Linked DNA regions of Macaca fascicularis. The protein of the gene in region 5 interacts with the protein of the main gene of each other region in a biochemical or structural test. Links are inferred from orthologs where the notes say so. Each region holds a gene or a part of one and is shown on either strand. Other genes may lie near its edges.

Region 1 (6,081 bases), on a different chromosome or scaffold from region 5:
GCCTTGGCTGGGCCTGGGCAAAGCTGCCAGAGGACCAACCGGCCTCCTCTCCTCTGATTCCACAGCCTACTGCTGCTGGTGAATTTCTGATCAAGAATTCTGCTCCCCACAAAGAATTGCCTAGAGGGTGGGACCAAGCTGCCCCTCACACTTGGGCATCCAGTCCACTCCATCGTGATGATGAGGATGATGATAGTATTGGTGACTACAGCTAACCCTCATTAAGCTCTTGCTATGTGCCAGGCTCCGTTCCGAGCGCTTTACAAATATCAACTCCTTCAAACTCCCCAACCACCCTCAGAAGTAGCGTTTCTACCCCGACTTTATAGATGAGAAAATTGAGGTATTGTTAAATAATTCTCCAAGTTTATACAGCTTGTAAGTGGAAAAGCCAAGATTCCAACTCAGGCCGTCTGACTCCAGAACCTGCAGGACATCAGACTGCACCGCACTTAACTGTTGTTGGGAACAGTTAGTTGTCCATCTGCTTAGCATGTCCATCCCTTCTGGGGTTGACTGGGGCAAGTCAGTGCCCACCTCGGCACAAACAGCTCCGGAGCACTAACCTAATGCGGGTTTTGCGACTCAGGACTGTGTGCTTCACCTAGAAAGTGCCAGGTGTGTGGATAAGCCATGTGAGCAGCTGGCTTCCTGGGCAATGCCCCTCCCCACGTCAATGTCCCAGGCCCCCTTAGGGCCCAGCCCTCCAGGCACTGTGAGCTGGGAATCAGGAGAGGAAGGGACTAGGCTTACCCTCTGTGTACCTCCATTTTCTCACCAGTAAACTGTGTGTGTTGCATCTTATGATCTCTTAAAATAACTCCAGCTCCAAATGAAGGCCAGTGGACCCATGAACACGCTGGCTCTTGCCCAGTGTGCTGAGAAGTCAGCAGGAGAGAGGAGTAGGGTGGGCACGGCAGGGCACAGGGTGCAGGGCAGGTGGGTTCTGTTTGATTTCAAAGCCAGCTGCCCGCCGCTCCAGGTGCTCTGGTGTAGCCCACAGGGGCTGCATTGGCCAGGCGGCCGAGGCTTTGCTGGCGGAGTGAATTTTTCTCTACCTCCCAGTGACTCCTCTTCTCCTATTCTCCCTTTTCAGCTCTGGTAGGAGAGAGGAAGAGCGAAGAGGAAGTCAAAAGTTCTGTTCATCAGGAAGGGCTGGGAGTTCCTTCCTGGGATGGGGAGCTCCGGAGCCAATCCAAAAGACGGCCCCGGGGTCTGGCGGGGAGGCCCACCGCTGCCCTGAGGGCTCGGCCGGGAGGGGGCGCTGTGTCCTCCCCACGCCCTGCCCGCGGGCTCCTAGCGGCGTTCGCCGTGCTGCAGCGCAATGCGCGCCCGGCTTTCCCCTGGGCAGCGTTCAGTGCCCGCTTGTCCTGCAGGGCACCGCCGTCTCCCTTTCATCTTGGGGCTCCCAGGTCCAAAGGGTTCCCAGATCCAGCCTCTTGCCTGAACCAAAGTGGCCAGGCACTCAGTTTGTAAGATGAACGAATGAAGGAAGAAACCAAGGAATGAATAAGGGCTCATCCTGCAGAGCGTTCGCGTCTCAGCGCGCACCAGGCACATCAGTGCCAAAGGTGCTGGGGGTCGGGCCCAGCTCCCGGCGCGGCTGGAATGGGGGCGGCGAGGAGCTCCTCCTAGCCAGCCGCAGGGCGGGAACTGCCCAAACGCAGGTCGCAGCTTCACCCGGTTCCGCGGGGGCTCCGCTCAGTAGGGACCGCCCTGTTCTCTAGCCCCCAGTAGCCTCGCCCTCATAAATTCACCTGAGCACCCCTGCCCAAGTCCCCCTAGAATCCTTGGACTTCCCAGGCCCCGACCTCGGCCGGGCGGAAGGCTGACCCTCTACCGCGGCCCCCTTCCCCCATCCCCGGCTTCTCCCCGGGCTGCGGCGGCCGCCACCGCTGCCAGCGCGCCCCGAGGACTGCCGCAAACGCGGGCGCAAGGAAAGGGGATCCTGGCGGCGGGGCGCAGGGAGCTGGCCGGGGGAAGGGGAGGGAACCGAGGAGGCGAGGAGCGGGGAGGGAGCCGAGGGGCGAGGCGCGGAGGAGGGACCGAAGGGGAGCGGAGGGGAGAGGGAGGGGGAGGAAGGGGAGGGGACGAGCTGGGCGAGGGGGCGGGGAGCCGAGGCAAGGAGCGGCGCGGACCGTGGGGGAGGCGGCGGGGGCGAGGCCGGCAAGAGGCGGCCGCGGGCCAGGCTGAGTCGGGAAACGGCGGCCAGACTTCCCCGGGAAGGGGCGAGCGAGAGCCGGGCCAGGCCGGGCCGCGGGGCCGGGGAGCGCCGAGCCGGGCACCTCCGCACCAGGCACCGACCGAGGAGCCCGGCCGCCCACCCCGTGCCGCCCGAGCCCACAGCCGCCCGCCGGCCCCTCTGGGATGTCCGCGGGACCCGGGCATTCAGGACGGTAGCCAAGCGAGCCCGAGGATGGCACGGCATCCACAGCTCCGGCTCGTTAAGGTAAGAGCCCGCCGGCCAGTCCTCGAGCGCTGGCGTCCCGGGCCCCTGGCGGACGCGGGACGGGGCTGGGCTGTGAGTGCGATGGGGGCGGGGGCGCTGGGAGAGCCGTGCTCAGGTCCCGGAAGGCTGGGCTCCGGGGCAGCCTAACTCTCGGGACCTTTGGAGCCAGGGTTGGGTAGGCAGGGGGAGACTCAGGTGAGACAAGAAATCGTGGCGAAGCCGCCGGGATGTTGGCGGAGGAGGGGGTCCGCCCACCCGGGTAGCCGGCTCCGCGCCAAGAATCGCTCCAGGCTTTGGGGCAGAAGCCTAGGGGAGGGGAGGTTCCACCTCCCACACCCCCCTGCAGACCCCGGCCCTGGGACGGGAGGCTCTGAAGCGGGGCTCCCCACCTCACCCCAGAGCCCCCGCACAGCTCCCCGACTCCGCACGCCCCCGCCCTAGTCCTGGGAACGCGTCCTGCCCTTTCCCCTCCGCGGCAAGCTGCGAGCCCGGGGAGATGAATGCCGCCCGCGCCTGCGAGCCCTTGATCAATATCGCAGTCTCAGGGGAGGAGACGGTGCCTCCGGCGGCGGTTCCTGTTCCCCCACCGCGGCCGGGAGCGCGACGCTCGCTCTGCAAGCCTGGGCACCCGCGATCTCCGCGCTGCGCGGCCGACCCTGCGACGCGGATCGGGCGCTGGAGTTTAGGAAAGTCGCCAGACCGCACGTCCAGCGTCTGCCCGCTGAAGTTCGTGGGCGGTGGGGGCGGCCCGCGGGTTGTGTGAGCCCGGGAAGGGCTGGGAGGCCGGCAGTCCGGCCCGCCGCCCGTGCCAGGCGTCACTTGCAGCCCCGAGCGCTTTCCAAAGCGTTTTGGTCTTGTAGAGTACAGGCGCGCCCGCTGCAGTCGGCCGGAGAGGCGGGTGGGCCTCTGCGCGGCTGCCGGGAAACCCCGCGCCGCGCCAGTCTGGGCATCGCCTCACCCGGGGCTCGGGACTCCGCAGGGTCCGCTCCAGCCAAACATAGACACCAGCTTGACCCGGCTCAGGGCATTCAGAGCGATTACATTCGAGAGACTTCGGTGGATTTGGGGGAGGGGTGTGGATTGGCGGAATTTCATTTTTCCATCAGTTATTAAACCAACTGGTTTGAGTTAAGCCACCAAGATTTTTAAATGCAGCAGCTGCTGCTTCCTTAGTTGAGACGTTACAAGTTACTGAGATTTTTCTCTAATCCTGCCCCTCCCCCAAATATTTATAAATTGATTCTTAAAATGACCGAGGTTGGTCTCATTGAACCCACATCCCCTCCCTCATCCGGTATCTGAGGGCTAGGGATGAACTCACAGATTATTTTCTGGGCGTTTGAAGTGACAGACAGGTGAGGAAGGTAGAAGAAAAACATCCAGAGAGGTGGAATAGATGGCACTGAATGGTAATATTTTCCAAAAGTCTCGTGTGTACCGAAGCCAGGTCTAAATGCACAAACCAGTTACACCAAATAGTCAGTCTTTTAAATGGATTCAAAGGATTGAACTGTGGGTGTTTTCTTTCTTTCTTTCTTTCTTTTTTTTTTTCCAGGTTTACACGGAAATAGATCAATGTTCTTTTTCTGGCCTTTCTTAGAATTGTGTGCAAATCTCTGTTTAGAATGATGATGTTTTCCTTTTTAAAAAGTATTTTTATTTCCGTTGCTCCTACTAGATGGTAGGTATTTGCCCTTTATGCCTGGCCTAATAAACTCAGTAGGCATTCAATAAACACCAGATGAATGTGGGGCAGTGAGTGAATGGCCAGCAAATACTGGTTTCAAATGTTGGTTACAATTAAATAGTTGCTTTTCTTCTTTTCTTTATGTAGCATGTACAATTCCCTGAGCATTATTCTAATGTTGCTTATTTGCTTTGCAAATATTAAGTCATTTAGTCCTCCTAACAGCCCTAGGAAGTAGGAATTATTCGTGAGACACGGAGAGGCTAAGTAACTGGTTCAAGGTCACACAACCAGTGAGTAGTCAGAATTCAAACCCAGACACTCTGATAAAAGGCTTTGTTTTGTTTGCTTTTACCAGAAAATATCCTTTTTTTTTTCTTTTTTTTCTTTTTTCTTTTTTTTGAGACAGGGTCGAACTCTGTTGGTCAGGTTGGAGCGCAATGGTGTGATCATGGCTCACTGAAGCCTCAACTTCCCTAGGCTCTGGTGATCCTCCCACCCCAGCCTCCAGAATAGCTGGGACCACAGGCATGCACCACCACACCCAGCTAATCTTTGTATTTTTTGTAGAGATGGGGTTTCCCCATATTGCCCTGGCTGGTCTCGAACTCCTGGGCTCAAACGATCAGCCAGCCTCAGCCTCCCAAAGTGCTAGCATTACAGGCATGAGCCACTGTGCCTGGCCATTACCAGAAAATATTCTAAGCCACTTAAGTTTCACTGTAGAGCTCAGCCAGATGAGCGCTCAGGTAGTTTTGTCAGCATGAGAGTATGAATCTAGGGGATTTAGGGTTAATCCCAAATCCAGCTCTGTCCCCAACAAGTCAGCTGGGGTTGGGAAAGGGCTCCCTCTGGGGCCTGTATTGTGGGCCTCACACTATACCGCTTATAGAGTCCTGGGGGAAATGCGTGTGAATGGGGAGAGACAGGGTGTGTGAAAGTGTGCGTGTGAGTGGGGAGAGACAATGTGTGTGAAAGTGGCCGTGAGTCAGGAGAAGACAGAGAAGACATTGTCTCTATCCCCAGGGAGGGGCAGGGGCCTGAGCACCTCGGAGTCAACCACACACCCACTGCAGCTCTTTGTAGGGAGATGGAGTGTGGCTCTAAACATGGACCCCCGTGTCTGTGAGGGGTACAGAAGGCAAGGCCTCTCGGTGGGTTCTAACAGGAGAGTGAGCTCCCAGGAGGGAGCTGGTTTTATTGCTATTGTTATTCTTACATAAGCAATTTAGCAGCAATAGGCAAAGTTTGAAAACCAGAATGGAAAATGATTGCAACCTCACTCTCTTAATCCGGCTGCTGTATAATTCATTTAAAAAATAACCCCCTTCTCAAGCACCTGTCTGGGCACAGCTGCGGCCGTTGGGCAGCCCTGTCCCCAGTGTCACAGCCCAAGTCTGTTTCACGTTATTCCCGAGCCTCCGCAGGAGACTGTCAATGTCTGCGTGTTGCCTGTGAGTGAATGGACTTTGCCATCCCTATATCGGTGCATATCTGGGCCATTTCCAAGTTGTTTCTTTGATTAAATGATATGGAGCCAGGTTTTCGAGGGGAGCGTTGGCAGGAGGCATGAGGAACGCGAAACAGTGAGCCCAGGGTGGGCCAGTGAGCTGCTGTGGCGTACGGGACTGCTGGCCTGGCCACAGACTGGGGGCCAAAATGGGGAGTGGCGAAAGCCAGGCCAAGCCCCTTAGATTTGAAATGACCAGCCATAGAGAGGAATGTGTAGGTTATGGAAAAGTAGAACACTCACCCAGAGCCAGTGAGGACGAGCTCAAGTGGAAAATCCATTTCTCACCCTCTCTAACATTGGCTCCTCAGACAGCATCGGCCTGCAGCTGAGTTCAGCCACATATAAGGAGTTTGGGGGTCAAAGGTGCCACCAACCCAAGTGCCCATGTGGCCTAGAAGCAAGCGGTTAGGTGCTGGGCTGATAATTGCAGCA
Region 2 (6,104 bases), on a different chromosome or scaffold from region 5:
TGTCTCTCAGTGAATTTACAAGATAACAGAGTTATTTTTAAGGTAAGACTCAAAATAAAAAGAAACCAACTTACCTAAAAGAATCTGGGATACAATGTTATTCAGGTGATGGTTACCCTAAAAGCCTTGACTTGACCACTACACAATCTATGCACGTAATAAAATTGCATGTGTAATCCATAAATTTACACAAATTTAAAATACTTTTAAAATAATAATTTGACAAAAGAGAAAAAAGAATCTAGGATGCCTTCAAATACTCTTTAGATGATTGTTTTTCTGTAGTAGAGGTACAAACAAGGTAAGATGCTGTTTCTACAGCCTCATGGGAGGAGACTTATATGGGAAATTATCTTTTTTATAATAAAAAAATTCTTATTTATGTAATGTACAATATAGGTAATAATGGTGGACTAAATTATTTTAAATTACCCCAGCTTAATATTTAAACTTCCAGAGTAAACCGGCTCCCTTCCCCTCTGTTCCTCTCTCCTTTTCCATCTCTTTCCCTCCTCTTCAATCTCTTTTCCTCCTCTTCCATCTCTTTCCTCCTCTCCTTTCTCCTCTACTCCCTTCCTTTCTCTCCTTCCTTCTTGTTCTTCCTATAGTCAGCTTCCTATACTTTTTGGAAACCTCTCCCTTAAGGATTTCACACTAAAGAAGCAAAAAAAGTCTACCTCTGGTCCCAGCTCTTCCTAAGGACCCTTCCAACTTTGGAATTTCTTGACTCCAACTCACTGCTTAGACCCTTATCCTGGGCCTCTCAAATAATAACTAGATTTCTCTGTCAAAAGACTCTGACTATACTGCCACAAAGTCATCAATCCATTGGAAGAGGTTTTCCTTTAAATTCTGTCAAGATTATATTTTCTCCATGGGTCAATTAATATAAAGAGGTTAATAAAGTTCCACAGAGATAAACATTAGCTGTAACTAAAGTCTGCATTCACTGGTGAATCGATTTATTTACACAATGCCTTATTCTCAATGGAGTTTATGTGCTAGGTTCTATGCAAGGACTCCAATGTCCAAGTCTTAGTCCAATAGAACCTACTGTACATAAGTAACTGCAGTACAAAGGAGGCAGTGGCCAATACCCTGATAAATAAAGAAATACAGTGCTAGGGGTTTCTGACATGGATTTCAAAAAGCTCTCTAGCAAAGCTAAGCATCCACAGCAAAATACTTGCCTTTCTTTGTATTATCCAGTTTGGCTGCCGCATTAGCCAGAGTTCATTGGGTAATTGCACAATCCCTTGTGAGGCTTTTATCTTAAAGCCTTACCCTTGGGGAACTAGAGTGCCTCAGATATCTGGTGCATAGAGCAAACTATAGAAAAGCAGAAAGGATCCTTGATTCTGGAGTACACAGGAAATCTTAATGATGCCCAAAGTAACCATCATGTATTCATGTACACAGCAATGAGTAGTACACTGAAAAAATATATCATCTTTCCTCCAAAACGGAGGCTGCTCATGTGATCCCAGGTGGATGGGAGGCAGAGTGATATAATGAATGAAACCATGTGCTTTTGAGTTAAAAGGGTCCTGGGTTTAAGTTTCAACTCTGCCTTTTAGTCTCTTTTATTACTGCAGCCCTCTGAGCTTCAAACTCTCCTCTGCCAAAGGAGCACTGGAGTGAGTACTGATGAAAAAAAAAATGGATGTGAAGTGATTAACTTGGTGCCCAACACACACAAAGAATTCAGTCAGTACTAGCTGACAATCACAATAAAATTTGTGACAATAACGTACAAAACTCAGAGAATTAAATAGCAGCCTTCTTTACGGCCAAGTAAAAGATGGGGCCATTTCATCCGGAGAAGAGCCAACCAGAAAGACATGAACAATTCTATTTACTTTCCTTTATTTTTATTACACAAGTAGTACATGTTCATGGTAAAGAAAAATTACAATGTAATACAAGCTGAAATAAACTTAAATTATGAACTTTACCACCAACCAGACATATCTAAAATTTCACATATATGCTTTTTTTCATCTTTCTTGAAATATATGAAAATATTTTTAAACAAAAATAAGCGCATTTATAATACTGTTTTATATCTTGCTTTTTTCTTATTTCCATGCCATGATCACCTTTCTTTGCCAAATAACAACATCAATGTCATCATCTAACTGGCTACAGAATAACCAATTATATAAACATTATGAAATATGTTTAACCAATTTCCCACAATAGCTATTATTTAAGTTGTAAGAATGGACCATGTGCCCTGGGCTAAACCAGATTGGACCAGTTCTGGTTCCACCTGGAAAAGATCCTATGTTCTCTCGGTCTCATCTTTACCATCTTTAAAATAAGAATTACTCCAGTTCTTAAGGCTAGTATGTGGATCAAATGAACTGATGCATGTAAACGTGTTTTGTAAAGTACTATGTGAATGTTTACATTCATTAATGAAGGTACTAAACAGGTGTTCTCCACTGAGTCAAAACAAGAAGAAATTTGATTAACATGCTGTTGGTCTCGTTGGGATGATTCCTGGCCTGCAGCAGGCTAGGAGTGCAACAGCAAATGCTTCAATGTGGTTTAGGGGCTCTGGCTCTGTTTTCAGTCCCCAATGGGAGAAACCAGAACGCAGCCCTGGCATAAACTCTGTCCACTTTCCTCCTGAGGACATGAGGTCCAGAGAAGGTAAGTGCCATGTCTATGGGGCTCCTGAAAGCCAGAGTGAGCCACCTTCTGCCTCCAAATCCAATGCCATCGATCTTCACTGTGCCCACAGTGTGTTAGTGACTGGCCAGCTATTAAATGCCCACCTTGTGTTTAATCTTGAAGATTGCAAAAGAAAGGAAGCCTGGCTGCCTTGGCAGATTCTAGCAGATATGGGCGTGATTCAGGTACATTCAGAACATACGACAGCCTCAACTTCTCTAACTTTTAACCATCGAAGCACTGGAAACAAATCCACCTCTTTAAAACATTAGTAAATCGAAACACAAGTAGATTCTCATCTCAAGAGTTTATGTGGCTGAGGTAGATAGAAATTTCTAGAAGTCTTATGTTTCCCCCCAAATTATTCTGTAATTTGCATTATGTATGTAGTGTTGAAAGGGAGATTTGATTGGATTGCCTGAAATTATACCTCCCTTTCTCCTAATACATATTACTCTCAGGTATATGTCAGAGACAGAAAAATATTTTGAATGACGTAGGTCATCTGTTTTTATGCCGACCACCTATTAGAATCACCTGAGAAGTTTCTGGAAAACAAGACAAAATACTGCAGATGACTTGCTGATCTCTAAAAGTTAAGCTTCAATTATTCTAGGGGTAATTTTCTAATCTCCTCAGAGTCAGGTGATTCTGACTTGATGTGCAGCCAGAGTTGAGAAACACTGGTTAGGGTCCCAGTGGGGTAAGGAACAGATTATATGCTCATGATCTCACATACTCTTTCACTCTCATTGTGCCTCTAAGCAAAACCATTGAAACATATGTGCTCAGATTCAACTTCTTCTACCTCTAAAACAAGACCCTGAATGAAAAAAATATATCTTATATAATAAAAGGACCCAAACTATGAAAAATAGGATAACTGCTATACAGCTAAAAATGGAGGAAGTAAAGTTCCTCAATGCAATATTATGCAGCAGCTTTAATTTATGATTACAAAGAATTCACAGCAACATGGAAAAACCATAGACTGAAATGCAGGAAATGAATATAAACGTGTCCATAGTGCAGGGACGCAACTATGAAAACTAAAGTTATATGTGCATATACACATTCACAAACACGCACACACACACACACATACACACACACACACACACGGAAAACCCCCAAAATATCAATAGAGGCTATCTTGGTGGAGAATTTGGCTTCCTTTAACATTTTTGTACTTTCACAGTATTTTTTAAACTACCATGTACATGATAGGAAAATAATATTTATAGTAGAACAAAACAAATTTACTTTTCAAAAATTACTCCTCTATTACGTGATCTTCAAGTCATGATTCTCAACACTGAATTAACAAAACAAAGATTAAAATGCCCACCTGAAGTTCTCTGTCTTTCAGCTGCCCTGGCTTCTGCTGCCTCTATCTCTTCTGCCTTTCTCCTCCAAGTAATTCGGATTGCTCATTTAAAAGAAAAGGGAAACAGCAAATTATATTTATGAACAGTGCCAACCAATAGCAAGAAAGTCAGGAAGTGTAGCAGGTCATCTGTGCTTTTTAGAAGCCAGTATAGATGTCAGTGCAAGATCTCTTCTCAAGAAGGGGGAAGATTTCCAGTTAAGGGCTACATCTAAAAAGAAGAAACCTAAAATTGCCCTGCCCCTCTAATGACTGGTTTTTGTCATTATCTTTCTCAAGAGAACAAGCGGATATAATGGGTTAGAGTCAGGGATTTTAAGTGGCTTTTAGTTCTCCTGAAAGGTTTCTGTTTCCATGGCAACAGAAATAGCAACACTGCCTTACACACACAGCACTTTAGATTTGTTTAAAGCACTTCCCTCACTCACTTATATTTTCAATTCACTTGCACTCCAGCAGAGACCTTATCCACTCTGCTGAAAATGTTCTGTCAGAGGTTACCAATAACCTTGTTGCTCACATAAAAAATCCTTTCTCAGTCCTCACCTTCCTTCCCGTCTTGTTTGCATAGTTGACCACTACCACTTTCCTGAAACTTCTTCCTTGTTTCTCTGACTTTCCTGGTTCTTTTTCTCCCCCTCAGATTGCTCTTCTTTGCCTCTCTTTCTGATGCCTCTTCTTCCATCCCTTTTCTACATGTGAGCTTTCCCCAGAGGTCTGTGTTCTGACTTCTTCCCTCCTTCTCTTGCTTTTATCTATCTGATGCACAATCATGGCCAAATTTAATGTGACCCAGATGGACCTTTTCTCTTCCCCTCTTAGTCCTGCATCCCCCCATCTACCCTGTCTAAACAGTGGCACCACAATAATTTAGCCCATCCATAAACCTAGAAGTCACTTTTAACTTCTCTCTTTCTTCCACCACCCACTTCTGAGCCAACAAGTTCCATTTGTTCTGCCCATAAAATATGTCCCAACTCCAACCATTGCTGACCTCCCCATCACTGTTCAAATCCTCATTTCCTGGATAGAAAGCTGCAGTAACATTAAGCAAGAAAAATACATAAAAGGGATCCAAATTGGAAATAAATAAGTAAAATTATATCTGTCTGCAAATGATAAAATTTTATACGTAGGAAAACCTGAAGATTCCATACACACACACACACACACACACACACACACACACACACACACACAAAACCCCAATAGAACTAATAAGCAAATTCAGCAAAGTTGCAGGATAGGAAATCAATACACAAAAATCAGTTGCATTTATATATACTAACAATAAACAACCAAAAAAGGAAACTAAGGAAACGATTCCATTTAGAATAGCATCAAAACGAATAAAATACTTTGGATATATACTCAGTAGTAGGGTTACTGAATCTTGTTGAGATCTCTGCACTCTCATGTTTACTGTAGCACTATTCACAATAGCCAAAATATGGATCACCCTAAATGTTCATCAACAGAAAGATGGATGAAAAATGTATATATTCACAATTGAATACTATTTATTGATTTAAAAAGAACAAAATTTTGTCATTTGTGGCAACATGGATGAGCTTGGAAGACATTATGTTAAGTGAAGTAAGCCAGGCATAGTAAGATAAATACTGCATGTTCTCATATGTGGAAGCTAAAAAAGTTGACCTGATAGAAGTAGAGAGTAGAATAGTGGTTACTAGAGGCTGGGAAGGGGAGGAGGCAGGGAGAGATAGACAGAGGTTGATTAATGGACACAAAAGTTGATCAGTGGACATCTAGATAAGAGGAATGTGTTCTAGTGTTCTACAGCACTGTAGAGTGACTGAAATAAACAACAATTTATTGTATATTTTCAAGTAGCTAGAAGAGCAAATTGTGAATGTTTTCAAAAATAAATGCCAAATGTTTAAGGTGGGGAATATGCTAATTACCCTAATTATACAGAACAGTTGGCAAAGCCTGCAGCTGCCCTTGTCCTCTTCCCACTCCCAGCTCCCTCCCACATATGAAGAGCTCCACACTTAGGCATGGGGAATTCTAGCCC
Region 3 (6,235 bases), on a different chromosome or scaffold from region 5:
CGCTGGAGACTACGCTGGGATCTGGCAGACAGAATGAAGAGTTATAGATAACAGCAGCTGTCTGAAGAGGTGGTGATTCCATCACGCAAGTGAATGGGTAGGAACAAGCACTGAGAGCAGGGCAGGGGGATGGAGAGTGAGGGAAGATGCTGAGGTTGAGGTCTCATAGGCTACCATGGAAGGAGCCAATGGGCAGCTGGAGATTTAAGTCTGGAACTGAGGGAAATAATCAGCTATGAAGGTACAGACTTGGCCACAAACATATTGAAGCCATGAGAGTAACTGAATTTGTCTAGGGAGAACGTGAAGAACAGAAGGTGATGGAACTCTAGAAAAACCCAGCTATTGAGGAAAATATTTTCATGCCTGCAGAAATAGAGAGATCGAACTGCTTCCTTGAGAAACCTACTTGGGAAAGGGCTTTCTTCACAAGTAAGGCAAGTTGTCATTACCGGTGGGGGAAAAAGTTGGTACTGCAAAACCAACTTATTTCCTACCACATGTGAGGTTTTGAATAACATCTGGGTGGCATACTTCTGCTGAAGAAAATAAGCCAGTTCAATGGCATCTCTATTAAACAAAAATAGTGCTAATAGTGTATCAGAGTTATCACCATAGATGTGCCTGGCCACCCTGAGCCCATGTGGCCAACGTCAGTAATTCCACTCTGGACACAAACACTGTTGGCTTTGGATGGAAGTGCCGGACGCTCACAGCACTCCCAGGACGTACTGTTTTTCAGCCTTATTTATGTTCTCTCTTCACCCTTCAGCCTAAAAAATGACCACAGTGCCACTTACCCACCTTAATGGGAATCTGCACGAAAGGCCATTTCTCCAGTTTCTCTCTCTCAAAAGCAAAGGAAAACTCCCCAATATTAATATGTAGCAAAAAGAGGGAGAAGAAAAAGCCTATTTGGTCCGCCCTCCTGGCTGTTGCTACCTTGCAGCTTATGACATACACATAGAGGGAGGTCTGATGAAGTGAACGAGGCAGCCAGAGAGCTACTCCATTCCCGTGGAAACCAGGAGTCCCTTGGTGCAGACAGCTCTTCCTACTTTCCCGTGCAGTTCTTTTGTGTGACTTTGAGGGGCTCGTGAATGATTTCTAAATGTGTGCCTGCTGAGGCGAGCCGCACAGGGAGGGAGGAACCCAGCCGAGCCGTGCCAGAGGAAGCCAACAGGATCCTAGCAGTGCGGGAGCTGGCTCGGCTCTTGCATGCAGTTTTTGAAGTCAGCAAAACAGAAACCAAATTACTATCATATTATGCTGGTGGAAGCTCAAGAAGAGGGGACTCTACACCAGTTTAATTACTGTGAAAGATACACTTGTTATTCTGTGACTCGCTGCATCTCATGTGTGGACCCTGAAGACAAATGTAAGTTCTCGTGCCGCTATATTTTATTGCTATGTAATTTTCTTTCCGGTTTGAAATCATGCTTGGCCAACATGTAATCATTTCAATGAGAATTTCTAGTGAGCAAAGTTGTCTGCTAATCTTTACTTAAGACTTTTTTGTTTTCCTTTTATTAGCTAAGCAACATTGTGGGAGCTGAAATTCCTGACGGCAGCTGTGGCAATTCAGCCTAAGAATGGCTGAGAACTGTAACCCAAAGTACATCCAATTACTATGGGATTAACACTGGATGTATTTTTAATTGACTTTCTTAATGTAGAATGTGTACATCCCCGCTGTTTCTGATTGCATGCTATTTTAATAATACTGTGGCTAAACTAGTACTATCGGCATAACCAACAAAATGAGATATAAACAAGAGTCCCAGTAGTTATAAAACTTTTCTTCTTTGTCCAGGACATTTATCTCCCCGAATGCTCAAAAAAACCTGCAACCTCTATGCTAAAAGTTCATTCTGCTTTTTTGTCCTCGCTTTGCCGAGAAAATAATAAAATCAAACCGTGGACTCTCCTAAAATTGTGAATGAAGAAAACTTAGAGCCACCACAGTTCGGTTCTTTATCATTGTAATAATTGTAATAATGGAAGACAAAAATCCAGCCCCGGGAGACCAGCATGTACACCAGTCTCAGTGTTACAGAGCATGGGGACATCAAGGTGAATGGTGAGCAGAGGCTATAACGTGTTAGTCCTTCCACACCTCATCTGCTACAAGTTCTGGCTTAGACATGGATATTCTTTGTGAAGAAAATACTTCTTTGAGCTCAACTACGAACTCCTTAATGCAATTAAATGAAGACACCAGGCTCTACAGTAATGACTTTAACTCCGGAGAAGCTAACACTTCTGATGCATTTAACTGGACAGTCGACTCTGAAAATCGAACCAACCTTTCCTGTGAAGGGTGCCTCTCACCATCGTGTCTCTCCTTACTTCATCTCCAGGAAAAAAACTGGTCTGCTTTATTGACAGCTGTAGTGATTATTCTAACCATTGCTGGAAACATACTCGTCATCATGGCAGTGTCCCTAGAGAAAAAGCTGCAGAATGCCACCAACTATTTCCTGATGTCACTTGCCATAGCTGATATGCTGCTGGGTTTCCTTGTCATGCCCGTGTCCATGTTAACCATCCTGTATGGTGAGTGGCATTAGTTTCCCAGCTGTACTCGCACTGGTAATAAAGAGCATGTGCATGCCATCAGTAGATGAGATGGGGCTCAGGAGGCAAACAAATGATAAATAGAAGGCTTTATTTATAGACTAGGGTCTACTATGTTACTTATATTTTACTCTTAAAATGGGATTTCACATAAAAATCAGACAGTCTATGACCTGTGATCATTAGAGAGTTTCGTGCTTTAAAACATGTACATCCTGTGTAAAAATGATCATTGGAAAGTTTTATGCTTTAAAACCTGTACATTTAATGTAGACATTTTTATAAATTACCCCGATGCAGTCATAAACCAGTAACTTACCCGTCATTCTGAATCTACTTGATTTTTGCTCCTTTATATTCCCAACCAATATTCCAGCCTTCAGGACAGAACAGTTTCATCTTTGTCACACAGTTTTCAGCACTTCTAATGGAGTGATAAAGCCTTCCCAATTACCTTGAACATTTGCAGGGAGGACATTAGTGGTGCAGTAGGTTTTATGTTAAAATATGCAGAGTCTCCATTAGAATAAATGAATTACTCCAGTTTTAATTGTTCCCTGCCCAGAGAAGCTAATTTGGAAATGTGCCTTTGAATTATATCCTCAACTCTTTAAAAATGCGTATGCATACACTCCTCCCGTCTGGTTTGGAGGAGGGTGGGAAACAAATGGGAAGGGATTAATCTTGCTTTCTTCTCAACAGAGTTTGAAACAGTCAAACCTCTCAGCAAGGGACCAGAATGTGATATTCTTTCCAAATTATGAGTAATACAGCCAGATACCTCCTTAAAGGAGAGAGAGACTATTGTGACTGCTGACACAGGCACGAGCAGCAGTCACCCCAGAGCTTAGAGACAGGTTATGATAGCTATCTTTAAGGGGAAATTTTCTGGCCAAGTCTTAGGGGCTAAGATTTAAAAAAAAATCAACCCAGCCCTGGAGAGTGTGAAGAAGGCAGGCGGTAGGCAAGGGCGAGCAGGCGCCAGTTTGCACAAAGCTGGTAATTCTCATTGCAAGTCCAGCCTTCGCTTGACCATTTAAATGCCACACCAGAATGATTTCATTAAATTTGCCTGTCCTTTCCCCGGCATCCTGGGGAAGATTCTCCCCTTCCCAAACCCCCTCCCCTAGGGGGCAAACTCCAGTGGGGGTAGGAGGAGTGACAGAGCAGGAACCAAAACAGCAGCTGGAGGGTGGGGTGACCCCAGGCGTCACCCGCTTGGGGAGCAAGGGCGCCCCCTGGCGGCCGCCACTCTGAGCGCAGCCTGTTCCCTCCGGAGCCCCGCCCCTCCCTGAGCTGCTCCTCCCGCCTCGCCCAGTCCACGGGGCGTGGGGCATGAGGCTTCTCCCACAAGGAAATGCCCCCTCCTTATCCCGCATCGGAAACACGGACTGAGGCCTGGGCTGCCTGCTTGCGGAGAAAACCCCTCCGAGGGCCATCTGTTTCGAACAGAGAGAGTGTGGTTTCCCCCATCAGGCGCTGCAAAGGAAAAGGCTTTCATTTCAGCTCAAGCTCTTTGCAAATAATCTAAGTGAATGGATGTAAATTAGGCTTGTACGTACGCTCTTTACTTATCTAAGTATCTCCTGTGGCATTTTGGTAGAGAGTGTACGTTTGCGTTGGAGTTTGTTCAGCTTTGTGGGTCTGTAATAAGAAAAGTGGACTTTCATATTTTCCTTCTCACATGCAGGCAGATCTAACTCCGCTGCTTATGCTGTGATCAAAACTAATTAAAGTTTATATAACTGCTTGATCTACCTCCAAAACACAAAACCAGGACACTTTGTTTATGTCCATAAGGCACACTCTAACCTTCCTCATACAGCAGGTGACCTGCAGTGTCTCTTACATTGGAATTGTCTGGGGAGCTGGGAAAAGGCTTTGCAAACGCTTTGACATTTGATGTCCACCTCAGCCCACCCTCCAAAGATGATTTAATTGGGCTGGATTTGGCACAGGCATCAGGACCTTCTCTAAAGCTCTCCAGCTGATTCTGATGTGCAGCCAGGATTGAGAGCCACCACCCTAAAGCAGCTGTTCACATAGCTTGGTCCCTGGACCAGCAGCATCCGCATCACCCTGGAGCTTGCTAATTCAAATGCAAATTCTACAGCCTGCTCCAGACTAACTGCATCAGAACCTCTGGAGGGAGGTCCAGCAGTAAGAGGCGTGGCAGAGTCTGATGCTCACTAAAGTTTGAGAAATGCTTCCCTAAAACAAAGCTCAGAGCAAGGACACCTTCCTTTATTTTTCTTCACCCTTGTCTTCACCTCTCCCTACACATACCCTAAATTTGAGTTTGGCACCCAAAGCATTATTAGATCATTATTTTTCATTTTTACAAATAGACATATTCACAATCTGAATTTTTAATCATTTAGTCATTTGCACCAATGCAATTTATTGCCATCACTGTATGGGACTGGATGGTTATAATAATGACTAAGAGGTGAGATTAACCTCAGGGAAATACAATCCAGAGAATCTGTGACTAAATCCTGACAGTACAGGGTGAGAGGTGCTCCAGAAGAGGAGCCAAAACACAACTTTTGACATAAGCCATTAAGAAAAGTTTTGCCAGGTGTAAGGGGGAAGAAAGAGAACCCCCAAACAGAGACAATCTGAGTTTCCATGCCACACTCACATCACTCCAGACGCTAGAAATTTTCAAACCCTGCATTCATCAGCCAGTGCTAGCTTATCATATTTAAGTACAGTCGCCAGTGGGCTTTTTTTCAAATACTAAAAATATATTGTGCTGTCCCCTTTGCCATCACCTGTGCCTGTCCCAGAGCTGGAAATTGTCATAGGGTAGGGATCCGCATGCTCTAGGAGGCACAAGGTTGCTCACTGACACCAACCTTCTGCCTCGTAGGGTACCGGTGGCCTCTGCCCAGCAAGCTTTGCGCGGTCTGGATTTACCTAGACGTGCTCTTCTCCACGGCCTCCATCATGCACCTCTGCGCCATCTCGCTGGACCGCTACGTCGCCATCCAGAATCCCATCCACCACAGCCGCTTCAACTCCAGAACTAAGGCATTTCTGAAAATCATTGCTGTTTGGACCATATCAGTAGGTAAGTGGGAACATATTTCAGAGTCTCATTTGAAATGACAGTTCGTGCTTTCTGAAAAGACTTGTTCCATTTTGTTGTACTGAAACCTGACATCCTCAATCTACTGTTTTGGGTGGTACAAGATACGTTACAACATCGTAATTATCAGATTCGCTTCAGGAAAGAAAAATCTGTTTATGTCACTGGCTGACAACATCAATTTGTATTGCTTTGCACAGGCAAGACTATAAACAGTAGAGCCAAAAAAAAATCAGAAATAACTGTGTTTTCCCTATTTCTTACTTTCAAATCCACGACTCTAATTATTGGGTTTCCCAAAGACCTCAACTTTTATAATCACTGGACTTACGGTCAACGTAAAGATGCAGACCACTGTGTTAGAGAACATAAAGCCTCTGGGCTCTAGAGAAAGGTACCATGTGCTGAAGCTTGGAGGGGAAAGGTGGGCCAGAGGAAAGTGCCAGGATTTGCTTTGGGGCAAGGCTGCTTCTCAGTCTGCCCCGGTGTCCTTAATGACCTTCCTCCTTTTATGATACCACACACCAAAGGATTTCAACCCGCTTCTGTTAAGTTGATCACATA
Region 4 (5,163 bases), on a different chromosome or scaffold from region 5:
GCTTTGCAAACTGTGTCTCAGGAAGCAGCCCCTATCCTGGAATGCCAGTCGATTCTAAATTCTACAAGATGATCAAGGAAGGCTTCCGGATGCTCAGCCCTGAACATGCACCTGCTGAAATGTAAGGGTCGAAAAATTTTTCCTTTAGATCACATTTTCCCTTTTATTTTTCTTTTTAAAGACAGAAACCCAGATGTTGAGGGTTTTCATAACACAGTTTGAAATGTCACTTGGTTTCTTTATGACACGCTGGTCAAATGTCATTTCTGTAGTTTATTTTCATAATCTCTTGTCACCAAAAATACAGAAAGTTTCAGCAGCATTTCATACATGCAGTGTTTTATGTTATCCATATGTCAGTCCGTATGTCCAGTTGCATAGCCCTGGAATTATTACTGAAGTTGCTGGATGCCATACATTTGAAAACAGACTGAGGGTGTTGAGGAGGGATAGTAAATGGCCCTTGTCTCGCAGGTATGACATAATGAAGACTTGCTGGGATGCGGATCCCCTAAAAAGACCAACATTCAAGCAAATTGTTCAGCTAATTGAGAAGCAGATTTCAGAAAGCACCAATCATGTGAGTATACTCTGGCCGAATCCCCCTTCTCCCAGTTCCAGGTGTGTCCTCCTCCTCAGGTTTTCAAGGTGAGGACTAACCTCCCAACCCCTTCTCTCCTCATCTTAGGTTGCAAATTGGGCTTCAGGTAGGGGAAGTAAAGCAATGGAAACCAGTTCTTTCTGCCCAGCCCTCCTCTTCTGAGCCAAAGAAGGATGTGAGATGGAGGGGGAAGGGTGGAGAGTTTTGTGCTCAGTGGAAGTAGAAGTTTCCGTAAGGATTTGCCATGTTTCCTCCCCTATCTCAAATGCTGGTCATGGGGTCAGTATTTTCTCCCTCTCACGTGTCAGGGCCATTCATCCTTTGGAGGGTTGGGGTGATGTGAATAGAATAAACGCATAGAAAAGACAGCTTGTTACTGCAGTGAAATAAGCCTTCTGATCAAACAAGCATAGCCAGAAAATGGCAGATAGCTGTCATGCCCACAAGCCATATAGAATGAAGAGCTGTTTGAAGTTGGGAGATCCCTCCCAGTGATTTGGGAAGTGGGGGGGAATGAAAACTCAAATCTATTATTTCCTCTCTTGCTTTTAAGGAAGAATTAGTGATACTTTGACTCTGATTTTTTTAAGCTGCTTTCTTTACTGGGCTGTGTGCTTGGAGCTATCTTTTCTTTCCTAATAGCACACCACTGATAATTTTTGGGTTAAAGCTTGTTCTTCTGGGTTTCAAAGCGTGTTTCAACTTAAACAGCATTTTTCACCCAGTTACTTTGATTCTTGACAGGAGACCCCTGGAAGGGCCATGGGTTTCTCGGCAAATTACATTGGTTGTTGGGTTGTAGTTGGCTGTAGAGATTTACAAGCCTTTTTAGATAGGTTTGATAGTGCTTGCTCCCTGGTGTGCCCCATTAGAAGAGCTAAGCTTGTGCATGTTTTGTCCCTACTTCTTGTATGAAGTTATTTCCTTTGGAAAAATGAAGGGGAAAACAAAGCTTATATTTGTTTTGTCAGTATGACTTGGGTTTTGGCCATAAAGTTCTTGTAAACCACTTCTCTCTTAAGAGTTTCCATCAGTTAGTGGTGATCTTGACACTGTAAGTATGCCTTTTGTTGCTGTGTTCATTGTAGGGACCTGGTGTATTGACTATGCGCTTGTTTTCCCCAGATTTACTCCAACTTAGCAAACTGCAGCCCCAACCGACAGAAGCCTGTAGTGGACCATTCCGTGCGGATCAATTCTGTCGGCAGCACCGCTTCCTCCTCCCAACCTCTGCTTGTGCACGACGACGTCTGAGCAGAATGAGTGTTTGGGTCACCCCTCCAGGAATGATCTCCTCTTCTATTGGCTTCCATGATGGTTATTTTGTTTTCTTTTGACTTGCATCCAACTCCAGGATAGTGGGCACCCCACTGCAATCCTGTCTTTCTGAGCACACTTTAGTGGTTGATGATTTTTGTCATCAGCCACCATCCTATTGCAAAGGTTCGAACTGTATATATTCCTAATAGCAAAGTAGCTCCTACCATGAACAGAAAACATTCTGATTTGGAAAAAGAGAGGGAGGTATGGGCTGGGGGCCAGAGTCCTTTCCAAGGCTCCTCCAATTCTGCCCAAAAATATGGTTGATAGTTTACCTGAATAAATGGTAGTAATCACATTTGGCCTTCAGAACCATCCATAGTAGTATGATGATGCAACAAGATTAGAAGCGGAAAACCTAAGTCCTTTATGTGGAAAACAGAACATCATTAGAACAAAGGACAGAATATGAACACCTGGGCTTAAGAAATCTAGTATTTCATGCTGGGAATGAGACATAGGCCATGAAAAAAATGATCCCCAAGTGTGAACAAAAGATGCTCTTCTGTGGACCACTGCATGAGCTTTTATACTACTGACCTGGTTTTTAAACAGAGTTTGCTATTAGAGCGTTGAATTGGAGAGAAGGCCTCCCTAGCCAGAACTTGTATATACGCATCTATAAATTGTCCGTGTTCATACATTTGAGGGGAAAACACCATAAGGTTTCGTTTCTGTATACAACCCTGGCATTATGTCCACTTGTGTATAGAAGTAGATTAAGAGCCATATAAGTTTGAAGGAAATAGTTTATACCATTTTTTAAGGAAACAGTGTAACCACAAAGCACAGTCTAAAAATCTCCTCTTTTAGCTGATGAACTTACTCTATAGATTCTGCGGAACAAGTCTATCAGCTTCAGAATGGCATTGTACTCAATGGATTTGATGCTGTTTGACAAAGTTACTGATTCACTGCATGGCTCCCACAGGAGTGAGAAAACACTGCCGTCTTAGTTTCGATTCTTATGTAGCAGGAAATAAAGTTTAGGTTCAGCCTCCTTCACAGGCATGTCCTGGACGCCGGGCCAGTATCTATATATGTGTGTGTACGTTTGTATGCGTGTAGACAAATATTTGGAGGGGTATTTTTGCCCTGAGTCCAAGAGGGTCTTTTAGTACCCAAAAAGTAACTTGGCTTTCATTATTAGTACTGCTCTTGTTTCTTTTCACATAGCTATCTAGAGTAGCCTACCAGAAGCTTCCATAGTGGTGCGGAGGAAGTGGAAGGCATAAGTCCCTGTGTATTTGCAGTCCACCTGCACTTAAGGCACTCTGTTATTTAGACTCATCTTACTGTACCTGTTCCTTAGACCTTCCATAATGCTACTGTCTCACTGAAACATTTAAATTTTACCCTTTAGACTGTAGCCTGGACATTATTACTGTAGTTTACCTCTTTTAAAAAACAAAACAAAAAACTCTCCTTCCTCACTGCCCAATATAAAAGGCAAATGTGTACATGGCAGAGTTTGTGTGTTGTCTTGAAAGATTCAGGTATGTTGCCTTTATGGTTTCCCCCTTCTATGTTTCTTAGACTACATTTAGAGAACTGTGGCCATTATCTGGAAGTAATCATTTGCACTGGAGTTCTATGCTCTCGCACCTTTCCAAAGTTAACAGATTTTGGGGTTGTGTTGTCACCCAAGAGATTGTTGTTTGCCATACTTTGTCTGAAAAATTCCTTTGTGTTTCTATTGACTTCAATTATAGTAAGAAAAGTGGTTGTTAGTTATAGATGTCTAGGTACTTCAGGGGCACTTCATTGAGAGTTTTGTCTTGGATATTCTTGAAAGTTTATATTTTTATAATTTTTTCTTACATCAGATGTTTCTTTGCAGTGGCTTAACGTTTGAAATTATTTTGTGGCTTTTTTTGTAAATATTGAAATGTAGCAATAATGTCTTTTGAATATTCTGAAGCCCATGAGTCCTTGAAAATATTTTTTATATATACAGTAACTTTATGTGTAAATACATAAGCGGCGTAAGTTTAAAGGATGTTGGTGTTCCACGTGCTTTATTCCTGTATGTTGTCCAATTGTTGACAGTTCTGAAGAATTCTAATAAAATGTACATATATAAATCAAGTGGAATCATTTGATTGTTGAGATTCGTGAGATTAAACTTTAAAGCATTAAAGTGCATTCATCCTGACAACATTTTGTACTCAGTTTTCATAAAATATGTGCAAGACTATCAGATCATACTAGGATTTACATACTTAGAGATTGAACAGATATTAAGAATTTTCATCCGTGTGATATTTTCTCATTTTAGTCTTACAACCTGAGGTCTCTATTTAAATTGAAAAATAGATACAGTGAACATTCTAAGAATTTTACACATAGCTATGATTACTATTAGATTGATTCATGTGAATTTTTGGTATTCACGTGAATTTGCTGCCATTTTTGGCAGCAAAATAATGGTCAAATAACAGCAACTTCATGTGGCTTAATTTAATATGACTGGCATGTTTCCTCCCAGAAGAGACCGTCTAAAAACATGAACAGTAAAATAATAGACCAAGCTAACATGAGGAATCCCAAGAAAGTGGCTTGTATTCTTGTTGGCTTGGGTTTTGAAGACAGGTCATTTCAAAATGAGATATTCATGCTCCACCTGAAGTCCTTATTCTTACTTGCTTCTGGAACAGAGTTAGGTTCCACTTCGACTTGGAGGGAGGTGCTTAGTATGTATGAACTGGGTGCCGTCATGCGGGTGAAACATTCTGCATGCCCAAGTGATACCGTCCAGACCACTGGAACCCAAACAGAGGCTGAGAGTCCTTCAGCTTGAAACAAAGGAGGCACCCTGAATCACATAATCCTATTAAGAATGAATTAGGCACCCACACACTCTCAGTCATGACTGCCTTTATTGATGTGACATCTACACCTGCAGAAATGTCTCCTGAGAGGAAAGGGAAGGAGTGAAAAGTGACCTGTAATGAAAAGGAATCCTTTTAAAATCAAGAGGGAATTGTGTGGCAAAGAATGCGTCAATAATCAGTGAAAAACACCCACATTTCAGTCAGGCGATTCCCATTATTTTATTACAGACAGGAATGAATGCTAATTGACCACAAAACAAAGAAGTCTTTTCTTTCCAAATGTTTTCGCTGTCATTTAGCCTTTGTCATGTGTGAGGAATTTGCGTTAGAAGCGGTTGACAGGCCCCTGTGTTAGGAGTCTAGCTAATTTTCCTCACCAGCCTAGCTTTTCAAAGGAAAGTAATACCA
Region 5 (5,967 bases):
AAAAAATCCAGGCCTTAGCAGTACATGATTATTTGCTAGAGTTTTAAGTAGTGCTAGCAAGTGGCTTGTATTCCAAAGATCTTTAAAAAATAATTACATATGAGACCACATTTTAAAAACGTCAAAAAAAACTTTGTACAATAGAATTAGAAGAATGTGTTTACTGTCAGGACAGTTAAGAGGCCTCTGGACCTTGTGAAATTTCATTCTCTTTGGTTGTATTTTATGTTAACAGAAATGATTAAATGGACAATAAAATGTACATTTTAATCCAAGTGCTCTTTTTGAAGAAAAATTACTTTCCTTAGCCCCAGGAACATGTGTTTTTTCTGTTTATCCTTCTCCTGTGTGCAGGTGGTTGCTGGAGGAGATGTGAGTGTGGTCACAGGTCATCAGCAGGAGCCTGCAAGTTCCAGTCTTTCTTTCACTGGGCTGACGTCAAGCAGTATATTTCAGGATGATTTAGGGTGCGCTCATACATGATGATTAGTGTTATCATTTTTTACTTATGAATCAAGTCTTCCTGACAGTTGCATTCTCTGTCCCGTGTTTCTAGGAATTACGTACAGGTAAAATGATAGGATATATGAAGTATGAATTACACATATCAGGTGCTTCCAAACTCAAATAATTATGGCATGGATTTAGCTGATCAAAGATAAGTAGAGAAATAGATAACTAGCTAGATAGATAGGCATGCTACTACCCTTCCCATGGTTTCAGCTCTGATTTTGGGGCGGAGGATATTTTAATCTTGATGTTACCACTTCATGTAATATGGAGCAAGTCAAATCTATCATTTTAAAATTTCCAGCACTGCCTATTCATTTAACATATTATACTTTGGATTGAAAAAATTCACGGTATTAAGTAACAACAATTGGATAAAAAAGCATTGGAAAACAGAGAGAGGCACATTAGAAAATTTAAATAATTTGATGCAGCTTTTCCATTGCTTATAAATGATTTTTCTCTCTGAGCTTGGGTGTACTGATGTTTATGACTTATTCTGTTATTGTCCCCTGAACTTTAGCCCTCTCACTTTAAATAAACTGGAAAAAGAATGAGCTTCTCTGTACAACGAGAACATGCCATGAATATGTTAGTTTAAGGGAACTGTAAATGAGTAATAGAATTAGGGTGTTAAGTAGGATTTCATTAGATTATGTAAATTTAAAATACCGAGCACAGCGTGCACTGACAATTTAAGCATCTCAAAAATACCCATAATATACTCCTTGTCAGTGACAAAGAGAATTATGCTAGCTTTAGGTGGATGTCAGATAATTCATAACATATATATAGATATAGGGTTTTTTTAATTTAAATGTTGTTTTTCCTTTCCTTCACCGTAGACCTCCTCAATGTAAGTCTATTACACTAGAGCGAGGACCAGATGGCTTAGGCTTCAGTATAGTTGGAGGATATGGCAGCCCTCATGGAGACTTACCCATTTATGTTAAAACAGTGTTTGCAAAGGTAAGCTTGCAAATTTTAACCACCCTCTTTTCCCCTAAACATTCATTAATAGTGGTCAGCAGCTGGCTTATTAGTTTATGGCCTGAGGTAATGCCAAATGGTTAACAGTTGATCATTTCTTTTCAAAACTCCCTACAGGAACAGGTCATTAAATATTTTTGTCCAATTTGAGGTTTCATTATATTTAAAGGAAAATAGGTTCAAATTGAAACTCCATGGAAACTCTTAACAATATACATAAAAATATTAATGAACTTTGGTTAGTAAAGCCTATTTTTTTTTCTTTGAACACAAATTGCACATGATTGTCTTTTGAAAATGGAACATTTTAAATGTGTATGCTATAGAGCACTGATATTTCTGTTTGCATATTTTTGTCGTCGTGAAGTATAAAATAGTTATAGAGAAGTACATAAAGTACACATGAAAATTAATAAGCATTTATTTTATAAGTTTAATTTCATTGACTAAAACAAAAATAACTACTGAAAAAAATTTAGGGAGTATCCAGCAACCCTATCATCTATGATAAGTCAGTGATTTGCAATCAAGAGATTCAATTAACAAGATTGTCTAGTTATAATTATACCTATTCTATCTTAAGGTTTAGAATAAGAGTAAAGATATTGCAGTACTGGTAAACCTATTAAAATAATTTAAACCCATATAATTATTGTTAATATGTTAAGTCGTTTTTCAGGAGCTACAAAATTGGACAAGATTCCTGCAGGGAAAAATTTAGAATCTCAAAATTTATAGTGTAAAAAGAAACAAAACTTAGTCAAACCTGTTTAAAAATTTGATATAGGGCCTTTGGATTAGTGGTATGGTCCCTTATGGATGTTTTATTTTATTATTTTGGAAAAGGTTTTTTTTTTTTTTTTTTAAGCCAATTTAAAGTGCTGTTACCTACAACAAGCTAGCTATAGGCTTAATTTATAAGATTTTTTAAAAAGCTATTGGTATGTCCAAAAATACAAACAGCATTTGCTAGTGAATAGAAGAGTCCACAGTCCTTTTTCTCAGCCTAGGAACAATTTATTTAAGGCATGCTAGTTAGAACATATTTTAAGAATTTCATCATTATGGATTCCTCATTAACTTTTCCATATCTTTAATTTTATATTTAATTGTATAATTGTCTTCTATAAGCATGCTTTATTCTTTTTCAAACAACAATGTCTGTATTTAATCTTAATCATTTAGGGTCCATAAGGAATATGAAGAATCTCTCTACCCTTGGGAAGTAAGAACTAAGACAGCTTGCATAGTTTTTTCAAAACCACAAAAAGAATTAGAAATAGCAGTGGGTTTTAAATTTAGAACTTACGCCTTATCCTGCCGTAGTGAACGTTCAGGTGGCTTTGTGCTTTTCAGACCTTTGGATTTTGTCATCCCTCAAGCCATTGTCCTGTAAAACTATTTTTGTTCCTGCCTAATCATTTACCTTCTTTCTGTAGGTCTTCTTTACAGGATAGAAAATCCTGGATTCTATTGAATCATTCCTACTAGGCAAATTCCCAAATATTCTTTATTAATTTGTGTTCCCACCAACTGCTGTGCTGAACAGCCAAAAACCCATCCAACTAATCTGTTGACTGCTAAATTCTCTCTCAAATTGGTATCTCAATGCTAAAACCATTTAGGAGAAAGACCTTCTTTGTCTATGTTCATCATTGCTTAATGGCTTAGAGCACCCATGGAGCACTGGGAGCAATGTGTGTGTACATGCAGAGCAATTTACATTCCTGTTGAGATCTTTTTCTGTTGTGAGCTGCAAGGCAGCATTTTTTGAGAAATAAACAAGTCTACCTTATAATTTGCAGGGAGCAGCCTCTGAAGATGGACGTCTGAAAAGGGGCGATCAGATCATTGCTGTCAATGGGCAGAGTCTAGAAGGAGTCACCCATGAAGAAGCTGTTGCCATCCTTAAACGGACAAAAGGCACTGTCACTTTGATGGTTCTGTCTTGAATTGGCTGCCAGAATTGAGCCAACCCCACCCCTAGCTCACCTCCTACTGTGAGGAGAATGGACTGGTCCTGACTTCTTTTATGCTGTGTTCAGCGGGTCTTCAAAACTATAGGGGGGAAATAACACTTAAGTGTGTTTTTCTCATATAGAAATGCTTTCCTTACTGACAACCTCACATCATTTTTCTTTTCTTCTTGCATTTTGTGAACTTAAAAAAGAGAAGGAATATTTGTGTAGGTGAATCTGGTTTTTATTTATGAAGATATCTAACGTTTTGTAGTCACATGGGCAAGAATTATTACATGCTAATCTCGTTAGTATAAAGAAAGATAATTCTAAAGCTAACCAAAAAAAATGGATTCAGTAAATTAGGATGAAAAATGAAAATATAAAATAAAGAAGAAAGTCTTGGGGAGTTTTAAAAAAATGCCTCAATTTGGCAATCTACCTCCTCTCCCCACCCCAAACTAAAAAAAGGAAAAAAAAGTTTTCTATTGAAAAATCTTTAAAAATACTGTCAGTATTTTAAAATTTTCAACACAGTATAATAAAAACATTGCATCTCCCCACCTCTTACATGCATATGTATTTTTCCTGCTAAAATTGGTTTCTATAATTGAGTAAATAGCAAATATATGAAGCAATGTCCCTAAATTTTATAAAGAAATTATATTTAATGCACATCTCAATTTTCATTTTTATTTTTGACCTTTTATAAAATATTTTCATGTTGCTATAAGTAAATGATGATGCCACCCCATGTTGACTATGGTTTTTCTAGAAAGCAACTATGCTGCTAATCATAGAGGAACATAGAAGGGTCCCAGAATCTTTAGTGCTGATTTTAACAACTGATGCAACATTAAAAATGTGTTAGTGTGCTGTGCAATTGGTTTTCAATTCATATTAATCTTAATGATAGAAAACAATGTGTTAGTAATTATTTTGGTTGTTTGCCATTAGTAAATTGATAGAAAAATTAAGGCGATTAACATAACTTCATTTCATCGCCTTATATTAACATCTTATAATACAATAGTTTAAGACTAAGGGAAACAGATGGAGCTGTTTATTGAGACAACTGGTGAGGAATTATCATGTGTTCATTCCCATTTTAGAGCGTGAAACTCCTACATTAGAATATATAAAGTCACTTTAAATATTATCTATATTTGTAACAGAAGTAGTGTACAGATATTTTATTACAGCATTTTTGTGTAAATGCAGAATTAAAGTGAATAAATAAGAATTTTCAGTGGTGCACAAATAAAGAAGCAGCAAGCATTTTTTTTGTTCTTTTTACTGTGGAAAAGCTTTGTTATATACTGTTCAAGATTTACAACTTAAAATTGGTTTTTATCATGTCTAACTGCACATACGGTGTCCATAGTTACAGCTAAAGGAACTTTGGACAACATCATTATGGAAAGCTTAATATTTTTTACCTCCACAATTTTTTCTAACACTAAAGATTCATAGACTCCTCATAGATTAGAGGAAGATGACATTGTAGAAAGAGAAGTATCCTGCCTGTATATGTTTTTCTCAGATGCTGTTAATGCAGTAATATTGTAAGTTGCTCTTCAGTGTAGTCAAGAACTATTCAAGTGTATTCAGATGGACAAAATCATAATCAAAATTATTTGCATTAATAAACATGACAAGTCCAACTTGAACACTGAGCAAGGAATGAGGGGAAATTTGCTCTACTAGTTTTGTACCAAATTAGCTAACAAACATGCATTTCCCTCTCATTCATCTTATCTGCAAAATGATAGATTATTTTATCACAAAGGTTCTACTTAGTTCTAAAATATGAGAATTCAGTGATTCTTACACAAAATAAATAGAAGAAACTACATATTGCAACAACTCAAAAGTTGTTAACCAATCATTGTAAATTTAGGTGCCCAATGTAACAAAACTCATTTTAGTATCCCAGTGACACATCTACCTTCTTAGCCATCATTTAGTGGCTCTCCATAATGAAAGATGCCATTATTTCATGGTAGGCTGCTGGAACATGAACTAACCTCCCATCTGAGTTTGAGCTAGCAAGTAATTTTTATAGAGGATGCTCCCTACCAGACTGTATGGGAGAAAGCCAACCAACCCCTTCAAGTTTCATAATATGTCTAAGTGCTCCCAACAAGAACAGCCCAGGTTAAATAGTGTCTCCTCATGATTCATGTCCATCTGAAACCTCAGAACGTGACCTTTGGAAATGGGGTCTTTGCAGATGTAGTGAGTTAAGTTCATGCTGGTTTAGGATGTGCTGTATCCTATGACTGTGGTTTCCATTTAAGTAGGCATTGTGAAGGCACAGACATAGGGAAGAAGGCCCCATGAAGATGGAGGCAAAATAAAACCAAACAGACAAACAAGCTAAGGAATACCTAGGGGGCCCTCAAAAGCTGGAAGAGACAAGGCATGTTTTTTCCCTCAGGCCTTCAGAAGGAAGTTGGCCTTATTGGCACCTTGATTTCAGGCTTCTGGCCTCCATACTGTGAGAAAA

What was found.
Region 1: the proteins of MPDZ (region 5) and CRHR1 form a complex in vitro, tested with the Homo sapiens proteins (2 studies listed by BioGRID and IntAct, with this or other methods). The link is inferred for Macaca fascicularis from reciprocal best matches to the Homo sapiens genes MPDZ and CRHR1.
Region 2: the proteins of MPDZ (region 5) and CYSLTR2 interact in a test that uses a peptide from one of them, tested with the Homo sapiens proteins (2 studies listed by IntAct, with this or other methods). The link is inferred for Macaca fascicularis from reciprocal best matches to the Homo sapiens genes MPDZ and CYSLTR2.
Region 3: the proteins of MPDZ (region 5) and HTR2A form a complex in vitro, tested with the Homo sapiens proteins (2 studies listed by IntAct, with this or other methods). The link is inferred for Macaca fascicularis from reciprocal best matches to the Homo sapiens genes MPDZ and HTR2A.
Region 4: the proteins of MPDZ (region 5) and KIT form a complex in vitro, tested with the Homo sapiens proteins (2 studies listed by BioGRID and IntAct, with this or other methods). The link is inferred for Macaca fascicularis from reciprocal best matches to the Homo sapiens genes MPDZ and KIT.

Annotation. Positions count from the first base shown.
Region 1 is NC_088390.1:67,368,568-67,374,648, forward strand, and holds the start of CRHR1 (corticotropin-releasing factor receptor 1), read left to right. Parts: upstream 1-2,196; 5' UTR 2,197-2,416; coding exon 2,417-2,449; intron 2,450-6,081.
Region 2 is NC_088391.1:27,792,394-27,798,497, reverse strand, and holds the start of CYSLTR2 (cysteinyl leukotriene receptor 2), read right to left. Parts: upstream 4,116-6,104; 5' UTR 4,028-4,115; intron 1-4,027. UniProt on the Homo sapiens protein: Receptor for cysteinyl leukotrienes. The response is mediated via a G-protein that activates a phosphatidylinositol-calcium second messenger system.
Region 3 is NC_088391.1:26,037,540-26,043,774, reverse strand, and holds the start of HTR2A (5-hydroxytryptamine receptor 2A), read left to right. Parts: upstream 1-2,089; 5' UTR 2,090-2,144; coding exon 2,145-2,556; intron 2,557-5,452; coding exon 5,453-5,653; intron 5,654-6,235. UniProt on the Homo sapiens protein: G-protein coupled receptor for 5-hydroxytryptamine (serotonin).
Region 4 is NC_088379.1:79,156,553-79,161,715, reverse strand, and holds the end of KIT (mast/stem cell growth factor receptor Kit), read left to right. Parts: intron 1-21; coding exon 22-121; intron 122-474; coding exon 475-580; intron 581-1,726; coding exon 1,727-1,855; 3' UTR 1,856-4,009; downstream 4,010-5,163. UniProt on the Homo sapiens protein: Tyrosine-protein kinase that acts as a cell-surface receptor for the cytokine KITLG/SCF and plays an essential role in the regulation of cell survival and proliferation, hematopoiesis, stem cell maintenance, gametogenesis, mast cell development, migration and function, and in melanogenesis.
Region 5 is NC_088389.1:85,773,466-85,779,432, forward strand, and holds the end of MPDZ (multiple PDZ domain protein), read left to right. Parts: intron 1-354; coding exon 355-467; intron 468-1,355; coding exon 1,356-1,479; intron 1,480-3,305; coding exon 3,306-3,452; 3' UTR 3,453-4,723; downstream 4,724-5,967. UniProt on the Homo sapiens protein: Member of the NMDAR signaling complex that may play a role in control of AMPAR potentiation and synaptic plasticity in excitatory synapses. Promotes clustering of HT2RC at the cell surface.